Caenorhabditis elegans: one gene and its partner. The protein of the gene in region 1 purifies or fractionates together with the protein of each later gene. This does not show direct contact. Each region holds a gene or a part of one and is shown in the gene's direction. Other genes may lie near its edges.

The links.
Region 2: the proteins of nhr-126 (region 1) and coq-1 fractionate together in Caenorhabditis elegans (co-fractionation; one large-scale study listed by BioGRID). This does not show direct contact.

The regions. Positions count from the first base shown.
Region 1 is NC_003283.11:2,226,599-2,233,360, forward strand, and holds nhr-126 (Nuclear Hormone Receptor family), read left to right. Parts: upstream 1-2,482; coding exon 2,483-2,589; intron 2,590-2,637; coding exon 2,638-2,709; intron 2,710-2,755; coding exon 2,756-2,814; intron 2,815-2,860; coding exon 2,861-3,054; intron 3,055-3,252; coding exon 3,253-3,471; intron 3,472-3,522; coding exon 3,523-3,713; intron 3,714-3,769; coding exon 3,770-4,142; 3' UTR 4,143-4,386; downstream 4,387-6,762. Other genes in the region: Nuclear hormone receptor family member nhr-103, read left to right, coding at 72-444; Nuclear hormone receptor family member nhr-18, read left to right, coding at 605-711, 757-828, 885-943, 992-1,164, 1,487-1,696, 1,761-1,951, 1,999-2,371; Nuclear hormone receptor family member nhr-134, read left to right, coding at 4,645-4,751, 4,804-4,875, 5,005-5,063, 5,434-5,639, 5,689-5,907, 6,141-6,331, 6,385-6,754.
Region 2 is NC_003279.8:5,410,962-5,418,481, reverse strand, and holds coq-1 (All trans-polyprenyl-diphosphate synthase PDSS1), read left to right. Parts: upstream 1-2,852; 5' UTR 2,853-2,946; coding exon 2,947-2,990; intron 2,991-3,040; coding exon 3,041-3,137; intron 3,138-3,190; coding exon 3,191-3,304; intron 3,305-3,351; coding exon 3,352-3,428; intron 3,429-3,745; coding exon 3,746-3,837; intron 3,838-3,882; coding exon 3,883-3,986; intron 3,987-4,351; coding exon 4,352-4,462; intron 4,463-4,559; coding exon 4,560-4,695; intron 4,696-4,741; coding exon 4,742-4,885; intron 4,886-5,045; coding exon 5,046-5,227; intron 5,228-5,274; coding exon 5,275-5,355; 3' UTR 5,356-5,641; downstream 5,642-7,520. Other genes in the region: erp-44.1 (Thioredoxin domain-containing protein), read left to right, coding at 53-228, 274-412, 459-543, 1,276-1,377.

The DNA.
Region 1 (6,762 bases):
GTTCCAAAACACTAACCCGTTAAATGTCGGGCTATGCGTATCACTCACAAATCTTAAAATCGGATTTTCAGTTTTTTCCTCACCCCGGACGACGAGAAGAACTACCGTCAGTTGATACAAGATATGGTTGATCTCAACCCAAGTAGCACTGAAATCAGCTACATGCTCCTGCAGCTTTCTCTGGAGCACGCGGGAAAAAGATTGCAGGGAGATATACTGGAGGCTACTGAAAGTTTAGTTCAAGCCCAGGCAAATCAATTGCATGATTATTACGCGAAGAAATTGAAGTTGTCAAATTACTCGTCAAGATTGACACAATTGATGAAGATAACTAGGACTTTGGAGGCAGACATGAGACTTCGAATTGAAAAGAAGAAAGTTGCAGATGTTTTTAATATTTTCAAAATTCAGTTTTCCCATCCAGAAATGTTTGAAACGACTTAAGATCCTCTGCATAAAAATTGAAAGCTAACCGTTTTTTTGTTAATTTTTTACTTTATCAACGAAAGTGTACTCATATGTATAATATAACACTTTGAATATTTAATGTAATTATTTGAATTTCAGCGCAAAAAAAATTATTTTCTTTCGAAATATTATTCAGATGCCCGCACCGTTATTCCTCTCGGGATCCTGTGAAGTTTGCGGGGACAAAACTTCCGGAAGACACTTTGGAGTAATGAGTTGTCGGGCTTGTGCCGCATTTTTCAGGTTTGCAGCTTTTGTAAAATAATTATTTAAGAACAAAATTTACAGAAGAGCAGCAACATGGAACCTAGAAAAGAGGATATGCCCAAACGGAACCTGTCATACTAGCGTTAATGGAAAGTAAGGAAATTTTTTTTCAAGTTTTACAGCAAATTTTAAAAATTAATAATTTGCAGATTCAACTGCAAACAATGCCGACTAAAAAAGTGTTTAGATGTAGGCATGGATACTAGAAGTGAGTCAAAAGTTCAATGTTTAAAAATCACTATACGTTTGATTTCAGGATTCCAGACAGATCGAGACCTTATTTCGTGTTCTGCTATTTCTCAGTCTTTGGCCACATTTCTCGGTCGACCCGAGTTCATTTTGTGCTGCGAGCCAGACAGAGCATCAGTGTTGAAGACAACAATAGACGTTACTCGTTTAGTGAATATCGCAAGGGACATGTTGCAGAAGGTATGCAAAAATCAGAAAATAGCAGGTGGTGCAGAGGAGCTGGAATGGTTCAGACGGTAGTGGTCGCAGCTAGCAATCTTGAGGTCACGATTTCAAGCCCCCCGTATCCATGGTCAGACTTTCGGCGAGGCATGAAAAGTGTACACCGCGCAGTACACCTTGTGTACTGCAGCTGACGCTGCAGAGTCCGGCGCGGTATTATAATAGTTATGCGCATGGGAAAGGCTATGGCGTGGGGCGAGCGCCCTCGTGAAAGGCCTACTGTACCCAACTCCCGCTCTGCATATAATTTTTTTGAAAAGAATTCAAGGTAGCGTTTCAGCCAACAAACCATGTTTTGCCCTCAAACAGTCTTGAACAACTGGCCACAACGCTCGACAACATGCGATGTGTCGAATCGAACAAGGAAGTAAAATTTATCGAAAAATATGGAAAAGTAGAAACTTTGAAATCTTGGGAACAGGGATTTCTTCGAGTTGTGGAATGGTTTTCCAATTTTTCAGAATTCAGAGAATTGAATGAACGTTTGAAGGTGAGTTCTATAATAGAATTTTATTTTTACTGTCTAAAGTTAATTAAAAGAAAATTGTATTCAGTTGGAAATTGTAAAGTCATGTTGGTTCTCCTGGACACGGTTGGATAAGCTATCGGAAACGGCTAACAAGCAGATTAACAAAATGCTCGGTAAATCGCAGTTGATGGTCGGTAATGGTGCATGTATGAATATGAACAACTTCGAGATTGATTTATCTTGGTGCACGAATTATTCGTTGGAGCAGCTGAAATAGTGAGTGTTGCCTTGTTGTTGCGTTGAGTCCTAATAGATGTTTCCAGCTTTTTTCAAACACCGAATGGTAAGAAAAACTTCCAACAGTCGATACAGGATATGATCGATTTGAATCCCAGCAGCATTGAAGTCAGTTACATGCTCCTACATCTTTCTCTGGAGCACGCAGGAAAACGATTACATGGAGATGCACTGGATGCTACTGAAAATTTAGTGCAAGTTCAGGCAAACAACTTGCATAAATATTATGTGGAGAAATTGAAGTTGGCAAATTATTCGTCACGACTGACGCAGTTGATGAGAATCACAAGGACGTTGGAGGCAGATATAAGGATTCGAATTGAGAAGAAACAAATTGCCGACGTGTTTAATATTATGAAAATTGATTTTTCTCACCCAGAGATGTTTGAAGCGACATAAAAAGTTTACATAACCTCAAATTCTCAATGTTATGTATTTATGGTCGTTTATGTACCATTTTATATATCTGAATTGGATTTTTAGCCAATTACTGCCCTATATATATTCCAGATGCCCGCATCTTTATTCCTTTCGGGACCCTGCAAAATTTGCGGTCAGAACACTTCTGGCAAACATTTTGGTGTGCTGAGTTGTCGAGCATGTGCGGCATTTTTCAGGTTTTCTTGTTACTGTTTCAATTTTTCTGAAAAAAGTTTTAAATTCAGAAGAGCTGCACTTTGGAGCCCAAAAAAGGCCCATTGTCCCAGAGGAAATTGTGCAAGTTTTGAAAATAAAAAGTTAGTTTTTAAACCAACGCTAAACTAATTCAAAAACTAATTCCAGTCTGAATTGCAAGCAGTGTCGGCTCAAAAAGTGCATAGATGTTGGCATGGATATTAGCAGTGAGTTGTCTGCAAAATCTAGTGTATTTTTACTTATAAATTTCAGAATTTCAAACAAATCGAGATTCTATATCTTCCGCATGCAAAAAACCTGCAATAATCACACGTCCTCAATCACTGGCCACATTTCTCGGCCGGCCGGAGTTTATGTTGTGCTGTGAGCCCGATAAAGCGTCACCGGTCAAGTTGACCATAGATGTGACCTATTTGATTGATATTGCTAGAAATATGCTACAGAAAGTAGGTTAACCTATTTCATGTCTACATGATTACCCCGTGCCTTCCTCATGCCTGCGCTTGTTGTCTGAATTTCGGTGTGAAATTACGGACAATGAGTTTCAGATAAAAAAAAGTACATGACCTAGGCACAGATTTGAAGATAATTTCTAGATCGTTAAGCTCATTGTTCACACTTTCAGAAGAGCTAGTTAATTCCAGAAACCCACATTCCCAAACATGCCCTCCTGCTCCAATAGCCTGGAAATCCTCTCCTCCTCACTCGACAAAATGCGGAGCCTCAAAGCCAATGAAGGAATAAAATTCATAAAGAAACTTGGCAGAGACGAATCTCTTTACACTTGGGAGCAAGGTTTCCTCAGAGTTGTCGAATGGTTTTCCTACTTTCCAGAGTTCAGAGAATTAGATGAAAGTGTGAAGGTAAGCCGTTCTGAAATCTAGAAATTTTCTGATTAAAAAAAAATTTTTCAGCTCGAAATCGTAAAAACTTCATGGGTCGCTTGGACTCGTCTGGATAAAATTTTTGAAACAGCGGCTAATCAGAAAAATGGTGTTTTCGGAGACTCGATTTTAATGGTTGGAAACGAGTGTTGTATGGATATGAACGACTATGAAGTTGACCTATCTTGGTGCACAAACTATTCGCTGGAGCAGCTTGCGTAGTAAGATTTTTCTATTTGAAAAAAAAAACTTAAAACTAACAAGTGAACTATTACAGCTTCTTTCTAACTCCTGAAGACATCAAAAACTATTGTGAAGTACTCCAATATATTAAAGATCTGGATCCTAGTGGCATTGAAGTCAGCTACATGCTCCTACAGCTTTCCCTATACCATGCCGGGAGTAAAGGACAGGGCAAAGTCATGGAAGTTGCTGAAATGTTGTTGGAAGCTCAGGCGGATAATTTACATAAGTATTATGTTGAGAAATTGAAAATGCCGAATTACTCGTCGCGGTTGTCGCAGTTGATGAAAATCAATCGATTATTGGAGGCAGATTTGAGATTGCGGATTGATAAAAAACGGATAGCAGATGTTTTTGATATTTTAAAAGTTGATTTTTCCCACCCTGAGATGTATGACACAACTTAAATGCCACACACATAACTGTATTCTTGGAATTATCAACTTAGAATCAACTAGGCAAATATTAGAGATCCATGATTTGGACTTTTTTGCATTGTCTTTTAGCATAAAAACCAAGAAATGGGCGGGGCTTAATTTTATAGACTTTTCCTAAAACGTTTGCACAAAAATTAAAATATTAAGCCCCGCTCATATATTGGTTAGGACGCACCACATTTATTGAGCATTTTTTTGAATGAAGTTTTTTTTCAAACTTATTGATTTATTTTTGAATAAGTTCTGTAATTTCCCACAGAAACAATGTTTTATCTAAAACTAACTTGCTCTCACATGCTCCGTCTTTACATTTTTTTCCTTTTACACCCTGCGTCTCTCCATGTCTTCTCGTTGCTGGCCTTTTCGTTGTCATGTGAATTTTTCAAGTTTTGCGATCTATAAAAATAGACATTCTTGTATTTTTCACTTTTTTTGAAAACTGGAAATTTCAGTTTTTTTCTAATCAGTAAAAATGCCTGCTCCTCTATTCTTGTCGGGGCCCTGCGAAATTTGTGGCCAAAAAACTTCGGGACGCCATTTTGGAGTGATGAGTTGCAGGTCGTGTGCTGCGTTTTTCAGGTACCCAATTTAATTTTTCGGAAATATTGTTTTGAAGCTAAAAAAATTTCAGAAGAGCTGCGACATGCTCCAGAATATTTGGAAGATGCCCAAATGGAAATTGCAAATTATTGGAAAATGGAAAGTAAGAGCTCAATTTTCGCTTTGTAAAAATAAAATAAAAATAAATTTTTGAACACCTTATAAAGTAAAATTTTAAAATTTTGTTCAAATAAATGAAAACGATTTCCAAAAATTGTATTACTTTTTTTAGATTCAAATGCAAAAAGTGCCGTATGAAACGATGTTTGGAGGTAGGAATGGACGAAACAAGTGAGTTTTCGAAAAAAAAACCAGGAAATATTTAAATTTATAAAAAATATTAATGCAAAATTTAATACGAAGCTCACAAGTTTACAAAATGTGAAAAAATTTGGCATCACTTTATTTGATTTTTTAATTAAAAATTAAATACATTTAAAATAAAATTAAAACAACTTTTTAGAAATTTTTCTAGGATTTTAAAAATTAATTATTCCGAAACTTACAGAATTTTGAAACGAAATTCAAATTTTTACTTTTTAAATGTTGTTTATAATTTTCGATTCACAACTTCTAAATTATGTTCGAACTAAACGTTTAATTTTTTTCCAACACGAAAAATAAATCCAAAATCTGCAACTTACAAAAGGTTAATTTTCAGAATTTCAATGCAACAGAGACCTAATCTCCAGCTCCAATAAATTTCAAAAACGTGTTTCCTTAATCGAACCACCTCCACAATCCCTATCAACATTTCTCGGCCGCCCAACACTTTTATTATGCTGTGAGCCGACAAGAGCATCGCATATCAAGACATTGATAAATGTCACATATATGGTAGATGTGGCAAGGGATATTCTGAAAAGAGTTAGTCAAATTTCTTGAAGCTTCAACGAAAAATCTATTTATTTTTCAGGATGTCTCAACTAAAATTCCCTACCAATTTCATAACAGTCTTGAAAGACTAGCTCTATCTCTAGAAGAAATCCGATCCAGAGAGCCCGATGAGAAAATAAAAATGCTTCGAAAAATCGGGCAAGAAGAATCGCTTCTGATTTGGGAGCAGGCTTTTCTGAGAGCTGTTGAATGGTTCTCAAATTTTTCGGAATTCAATGCACTGGATGAGCTATCAAAGGTAAATGCTTTGTAGACCTCCACTGATGTCGGCTGCGGTTGTGAGCGATATCAGGCGGGCCAGATTGATGTCTGCTGCGTTTTTGAGCAATACAGCGCGAGCCTCGATTGATGTCTGCTGCTTTAGTGAGCAACACAACGCGGGCCTCGATCATTGTCGGCTGCGTTTGTTGGGCAGGATAGGGTTTTTTTGGAATAGTTTTCAATTGCAAAGTTTCTAAGTGTTAATTTCAGATGACAATCTTAAAATCAGCTTGGATCTCATGGACCAGACTCGAAAAACTAGCTGAAACCGCCGACCATCAGAGAAAAAAGATTTTCGGAGATTCAGTCATGATGTGTGGAAATGACGCGTGCCTTGATTTGGCCAACTATGAAGTTGATCTCACATGGTGCACAAATTATACCACTGAGCAGTTGTTGTTGTCAGTTTCCAGATGATTGTCATTTCTTTTACGGAACATGTTGTGATTTTCAGCTACCTATCGCCAGAAATTGAGCAAAATCATTTCCTCTCCTTGCAAGAATTGGTGGAGCTGAACCCAACTAGCACTGAGCTCAGCTACATGCTTCTGCAAATCACTCTACATCTTGCTGGCAAAAAGGCACAGGGACAGCTCCTGGAGATTACAGAAATGCTCCTAGAAGCCCAGGGAAATCATTTGCATGAGTATTACGTTAAGAAGTTGAAGATGCCAAATTATGTCATGCGGCTGGCAAAGTTAATGAAGATCAATAGAAGGATAGAGTCGGATATGCGGGATCGAGTGGAGAAGAATCATATTGCTAGAATTTTTAATATTTTAAAAGTGGAGTTTTCGGAGCCAGATATGTTTGAATCAACTTGAAGAGTTCT
Region 2 (7,520 bases), on another chromosome or scaffold:
TCGAGCCGAGGAGACTGTAAAAAAAATAATTATTGTAAAATTAAATTTTCAGACAATGGGTTGCTGACAAATGTGTGCCATTAGTTCGTGAAATCACATTCCAAAATGCAGAAGAATTGACTGAAGAAGGACTTCCATTTATGATTCTTTTCAAGAAATCTGATGATAAAGTCAGTGAGAAGATCTTCACTGATGCAATTGTTCGAGAACTTCCTGATCAGAGAAAAGGTATTTTATTCGAGTTTTTTTAGATTTTAAAATGAATAATTTCAGCAATTAACTGCTTGGTCGGTGATGGAACAATCTTCAAGCATCCACTCAGTCACTTGGGTAAATCGGAATCCGATCTTCCAGTCATTGCAATTGATTCTTTCCGACATATGTATTTATTCAAGAATTTCGAAGATGTCAAGTAAGATCTGGAAAATGGATTATATAAACAAACAAAATTATTTCAGCGTCCCCGGAAAACTCCGCGAATTCGTGCTCGATCTGCACAGCGGAAAGCTTCATCGCGAATTCCACCATGGTCCAGATCCAGTGGTAAGTGTCACTTTTTGGGAGTTTTTTGGTTTTTGAAATTTTTATGAAATTTATTGAAAAGTTAGTAAACGAATTTTTTTTTATTATCTGAACCAGACTTTTTTCTATACCACCTTTAAAAAAGTCTCTAAAAATCCTTGAAAAATGTAAAATTACAAATTTCATGAGATTTTCAGGACGGAAAATCCCTCAAATTGGGAATTTTCTATGAAAAAAAAACAAAATAAATGAAGCTTTAACTGAAAATTGAAAAAAAAACTCCGAATTATTAGAAGATTTAAAAAAAATTATGGTTGGGATGATTTTTTCTAAATATTTTTCCCAGACGCGAAATGTTGTGCTTTTTCCGTCAAAAATACGGTAAACGGGTCTCGAAACGACAAATTTTTGTCAAATGTGAAAAGGTATGCGCCTTTAAAGATTACTGTAATTTAAAATTAGTTGCTGCGGTTTTTTATTGATTTTTCTTTTTTTTTCTCGATTTGAAAAAAATTATTAAAAAATTATTGTTATATCTGATTTTTTTTTAAAATAAATTTCCTTTTCTGATCGAAAAGTCAATAAAAAATTCAAGAAAAAATAAATCTTGAAATTACAGTACTCTTTAAAGGCGCGCACCTTTTGTATTTTTCAAAAATTTGCCTTTTCGAGATTCGGTACCGTATTTTTATTGAAAAAATTGCAGTACTTATTTCCAAAGACCATATTTACAATTTTCGTAAGACATTTCAGACTGGAAATCAAGCACCGGACACTGAGCCACCACCGTCTACATTCGAGAAGTTGAAGCCTGCTTCTTCGAGATACACAATTCTTGACAAAACGGAACTTTAATTTCTTTGATTTTTCATTTTTGTTTATAACAGAGCTTTATATCACAATTGCAACATGGCCTTGTTTTGCATTTCTCTGGTGTTCTTTTTTTTTAATTTTCAGTTTTATTCGGTCAATTTTCCATTGGTTTTGGTTTTATTTCTTGGTTTCTACGAGGTCCCCCCACACACAACTATTTAATCCCCGATTTCCACAAAAAACTATACATTACTATGTTATTCCATCGGATTGTTGTTCTTTTGCCAATCAAAATCCATTTCTTTCCTATTCATCTCTCTGAAAGTTTTAGTCAATTCCTGTCTGTGATGCGCGGTTTTATTCTTCGTTTTCCCATGTCTCTATCCCTGTCTTTTTTTTGTTTTTAGATTCAATTTTATTTCAAAAATTTTTTGAATCTTAAATTCAAAAACAATCAACAATGTTAACAGAAACGAATGAATATATTTATTCTTTCTATTTCTTCAATAACCTTTTTGTTTTGGCGGTTAAATGGATTCAATCCGATTCATCTACTTGTCAAAGGTGATTGACCAAATTTTTCACAAATATTTTTATTTGTTCCTTTTGAAAATTATCTATCGATCTTCTTTATTCTCGATAAACTCGAACCAAAGAGAGAAAGAAACAAAATTTGATAAAAAATATATTCTTTTTTGCTAGAGAAAAGAGAATTCAAAGAACACTGAGATAGGGACGAAGTGCGTAAGAAAGAGAGAGCACAGAGAAAAAGAGAAGCGATCTTCGGCGGTGAAAAGGGGAAAAGTGGGAGGCTACATTCATTTTCCATCTTTCTGATCACCTTTATACAACAACTAATTTATTTTTATTTTTCCGAATAAACTGTATTCGGAGAGACTTCTGTGAATCTCTAGTTGAAAATAATGATTCTCTAATATTTAAAGTATTTAACAATATTTAAAAATGGACGTATGGTTTTCAGATAACATACTATAAATAAGAGATAAATTGGTGATATAAATGCCAATTGATGCAATAATTAGTGAAAATGGTCGAAAACTGTAAAATCTTGAGAAGTACACTGGTTGCTTGAATCAATCAGTGTATATAAAATTGAATTCAATTCAAAATTTGGCAAATAAAAAAAATATAAAAACTAGTTCCTGGTTTCTATATTTTCTTTTCTAATCCAAAAAATTATTTACCAATCTAACATTGAAAAAAAATCAGAGATATTATTAAAATAAAGTTCCTCTCAAAATTACTCCAAAATTTTCATTGGCATTTTCAAAGTGTTTAGGCTATAATAATATAATTTATTCAAAATTCTCGGTTATAACTATACTCCTTTTTACTTTTAATCACGTCAATCACATCTTTAATGCGAATTTCAATTATCAGCTGTTTCCTCTCCTGAATGGACAGTTATATCTGTTATCAATGACTCTTTTGGCATTCTCAGAAGCCTCAATTTGCATCATTCACTTTTCAAAAAACTTATCTTCATTCACTTTCAGACCTCCTAAACCCACATGAGCCGCCGGTGAAACTAGTTTTTGAGCACTGAAAGAAACAAAAACTGGTATAAAGAATCAAGAATAGAAGATAATTATGGGTGTTCTACCGAAAATCAATATTGTCGCAAGGCAGTTCAGGTAACAACTTTTGAAATTTTAAATTTCCGAAATTCAAAAAAAAATTGCAGAAAATGTTCAATGGCAGCCACATCAACATCTACATCCTCATCAGATAATAGTGTTGCTTCAACAGCTTTCGTGCAGGAACATGTTAGACAAATGCAGGTTTATAATTCACTAAATTCAATAAAAGTTTAACCAAAAAACTGAAATTTCAGAACGATATAATGGTACAACTAATACCACAGGATGAATCGGGTGCCGTTGAAAATCTAGCAGACTTGAATGTTACATCGAATTTAGGACGAATGACACATTATTATTTTCAACAGGTTTCTAAAAATATATTTTTCCAACTCATAGACATTGAAAATTTCAGGGTGGAAAAATGTTACGGCCGACTGTATCGCTTCTTATGGGAAATGCTTGTAATTCCGCAGCGAATCGTTCAATTTCGTAAGTTTATTACATGGAAAACTTTTTATATCTGAAAAAGAAGAGCAGTCTGATTTACGTAGATAGTGCACAGGAGAAAATGATTTTGCTATTTTTGGCATAACTTCATATTGATGAAAATGAAACTAATTTTAAAATATTCCTATGGTGCTGAAATGACTACATACCATGAACTTTTCAAAACAATTTTCAATTTAACTTTTCACATGTCGTAGTACAATTCTAACAGTAGTTAGTCTAATGGAGTTTGGCAGCCCGTATTGATGTTCACTAATAAAATGTTTACTGATCAAAAACGAAAAAAAGTTTTTTTGCAGAGAAGAGTACCTGGCAATGTTGTCAACAGAACGATCAGGGATCGCCGCTCATTTATCAGTATGTCAAAATCAGTACAAAATAGGAATGATTGGTAAGACTATGAATAGTCGGAAAAGAGAAATAAAGAAATTTACAGCCGAAATGATCCATACAGCGTCTCTAGTGCACGATGACGTCATTGATGAGGCGAATACAAGGCGTGGATCAGCTAGTGTCAATGCTGTTTGGGGAAATAAAATGGTAGATTTTTTGAAATTAAAACAAAATTTTAATCTTGAATATAACATATCACGATCTATAAAAAATAAAGAATTTTCAAAACAAATTGGATACTGTAATCCGACAAATTTATTCTTTTTTTGCTGAATTTTCCAAAATTTTCAGCTTTTAAAGCAGCTTTCTCTGCAAAAAAATTATTTTTAGATTTTAGAAATGTTGATTAAAACTATATTTTTTGGAGAAAAACTGTGAAAACCTGGCAAACAGAAAAATCGAAAATTTGGTCGCTCTACAGTAACCTCTTGCGCATAAATTTTTCTCTTGTAAACTTAGAAGAAGTTTTTAGGGATAAAAACTTCTAAATTTATGTTAAAAAACATTTTCAGTCAGTGCTCGTCGGAGATTTCATTCTTGCTCGTGCCACGCAGATTCTTTGCTCCATCGGAAAACCCAACATCATTTCAGTTATGGCGTCGATTATTGAAGATTTGGTTTTAGTAGGTTTTAATCAATTTATTTATTTATTTATAATGAAATTTGAATATTTATACAGCTATAAATTTTCAAATTTTCTTCTAATAAATAATATTTTAGGGTGAATTTATGCAAATGTCAACAACTCCAACAGATGCTACACCAGTAGACAGAATGAAGGCTTATATAGAAAAAACTCATCGAAAAACTGCCAGTTTGTTCGCCAGTAGTTGCCGGTCTGCTGCTATTCTTGCAGGTGGTTTTTGCATCAATTTTCTTTGCAACATATCGGCCTTTTTCAGATGGATCAGATTTGAAGCTTCATGAAATTGCGTTCGAGTACGGTCGAAATTTGGGAATCGCTTTCCAACTTGCTGACGATCTTCTTGATTTTATAGCGACTGCTGATGAAATGGGAAAACCTGTGGCCGCTGATTTGAAATTAGGTGAATGGAATTACCGATATTTCGTAAAAATTTGGCACTTCATTTTAAATGGTTTTCTGAGTGGGTCTCGCCACGAGTTTTTTTGAGAAGAAAACGAATAATATAGTTTCAAGTTTTTGCAAAAGAAGAAAAAATAATTTTCAAATTTTTTATATTTTAGGTCTCGCCACTGCTCCGGTACTATACGCTTGCGAGCAATATCCTGAGCTCAATACGATGCTTCTTCGAAAATTCAAGCATGATGGAGATGCTGAAAAAGCACGGGAAATTGTTGTAAATTCGGATGGAATGGATAAAACGCGAAGATTGATTGATTCATATTCACAAAAAGCTGTTGAAATGGTAATTTTTTAAACTGAAACATAGAAAAAAAAAATTAAACTTTTCAGGCTTCATCCCTCCCCAACCGCAATGAATCTACGGAACATTTAATCAAATTAGCCATGTCACAGTCGGATCGAAAATTCTAAATTTTTGCTGAAAAAATTGTTTCCCTTCTTGTTTTTCATATTTCTCTGTAGCTGTAGGATTGTCGTAAAACCAGTTTTTAAACCACTTTCTGGTTTCTGGCACTCTTTTGTTTTTTTTTGTTTTTTCTATGCATTTTCGTCCGTTTTTTTGTATTCCTGTAGTTCTCATTTAGTTGCCGTCTTTTTTGTTGTTTTTTTACAGTCAGTTTTTTTAAGATTCAGTCAATTTCATCAGTAGAAAATTATTGAAATTTTTAGATTTATGAAAATGAATTCCTTTTTTTTTAAATACGGTAACTTTTAGTTGTTGTCAGGGTGGCTCAGGCGAGGGAGAATGAGAATATAAGAGACACTCTGACCTCTGCGTGAAGTTGAAAATATTTTTCAGCGCATTTTTTCCCTCGTTTTCGGTCAAAGAACGCATAAAAAAGAGAGAAATTAGAGAGTTCTCATAGCAGAGAGATTTAGAACAATTCCTTTTTTGCCGCCGCCGCTCCTCTCTGTTGACCACCCAACCAACCAAAAACGGAGCACTCGCCATTAGAAATCGTTGAAAAGTGAGAGAGCTTAGATGAAACGACGCTCCGCCCGTTTTAGCCATTCTTGTGTGAAAGAAAGGCATTTTTTCTTGCTAAGAATTTTTTTTCGTTCTTATGTTTCTTCATCGCCCTAATTTTCTTGAAAATGAGTTATGCGAAAAATTCGAATTATAATTTTTTTTTCTTCAGTTTCTGCGATCTGCAAAATATTGACGGCTTCAACACAATAAATCCACAGTTCACCGTGAGTTTTGAACTTTCGAAAAAAAACCTGTCAATAAACTGAAAAATCTATTCCTCACTTTTCTAGTCATATTTCCCTTTTCTAATGAAAATTGCCTGGTATATTGCTAACTCTTCACTCTCAAAGTATTTTTTCTCGATTTCAAATCAAATTTGTTATTCTCTGTCATGCCCTTCCTCTTTTCTCTAGCTTCCACGTCTTCTACTCATCTTAAAAAGTGGCTTTGACTCTTTTGACAAAGAGTATTTGAAAAAAAAAGAGAAGGATGACCGTCAAAGGTCATTTTGAGGGACACGAAAGCGGTTAAAAGACGAAACAAAATGCGAAACGAATTGAAATACGCTCCTTTCTTTATATTGGGTTCTTGAGAGCTGAATAAAAAATATAAATGTTTTTGTGTACAGTTTTTCAAACAGAATTCGGAAATTCAAACAGAAATTGGGTTCCTAAAATTATGGAAAGCTTTCTTTCGAAAGTTAATTCTATTCTCATTCGAAAGAATCAATATTTACCGTAATATCACTTAAAGGTACACATGGAATTATTCTAATGGGTCTCGACGCGAAAGTGGTTTATGGTAGAACTTTTTTGCTTTCGAATTCGAAACAAATTTCTTTGTTCTAATCGCTTTTTTCCTTGATTTTTGTTAAGATTGTCAGTATTTTTAGAATTATATTTCAAAATTATTTTTTTTTATTCAATTCCCTCGCCAATACGTCCTTATTTTTTATTCCAATCCAGTAATTGCCTCGTTTCCCTCAACTTGCTCCCAACTCAATCCATATAATATTCTCGCAATTCCTTCTAAAGGCTTCTAAGCATTTTCATTTCCATCTGCTGTCCAGATGTTCCCCGACCCAACTCTCCCTCATTCTGCGTCTCCTCGTTCTTCACAATCTCCAGTTCAGCTTTTCGCGCCGAAATTCAAATTTTGACGGGTCAAAACGAGCAGAACAGATTCATTTTTGAAATCCTAACATTTTGTTAGCGCTCCATTTAATTTTTATGACTATATAATATAAAAAAGAAGGGTAGATAGCTTATTTTTGCGGATTATTATTTTGAAGCGAACGAGCTCCTTTTATGATGCCTGCCCCCCGCCGTCTTCTGCCCTATTTTTCATATTTTGCAATACTAAATTCCGTCAGTTTATCACTAGGTTCCCACAATCTTTTAAAAAATAATATTTACGAATTTCCTTTGGCGTCACATAGACATTTTCAAATCTACGCAATTTCCGATGACTGATTTCCTGAAAAATGTTGCGTTTTTACAGCTTTACGTAAATAGTCTAGTATTTTTTTCAAATTTCCTATTAAAAAACAAAATTGAGTTATAAAACATTGTACCACTGCAATTTGTGTTCATTTTCTCTCAATTGA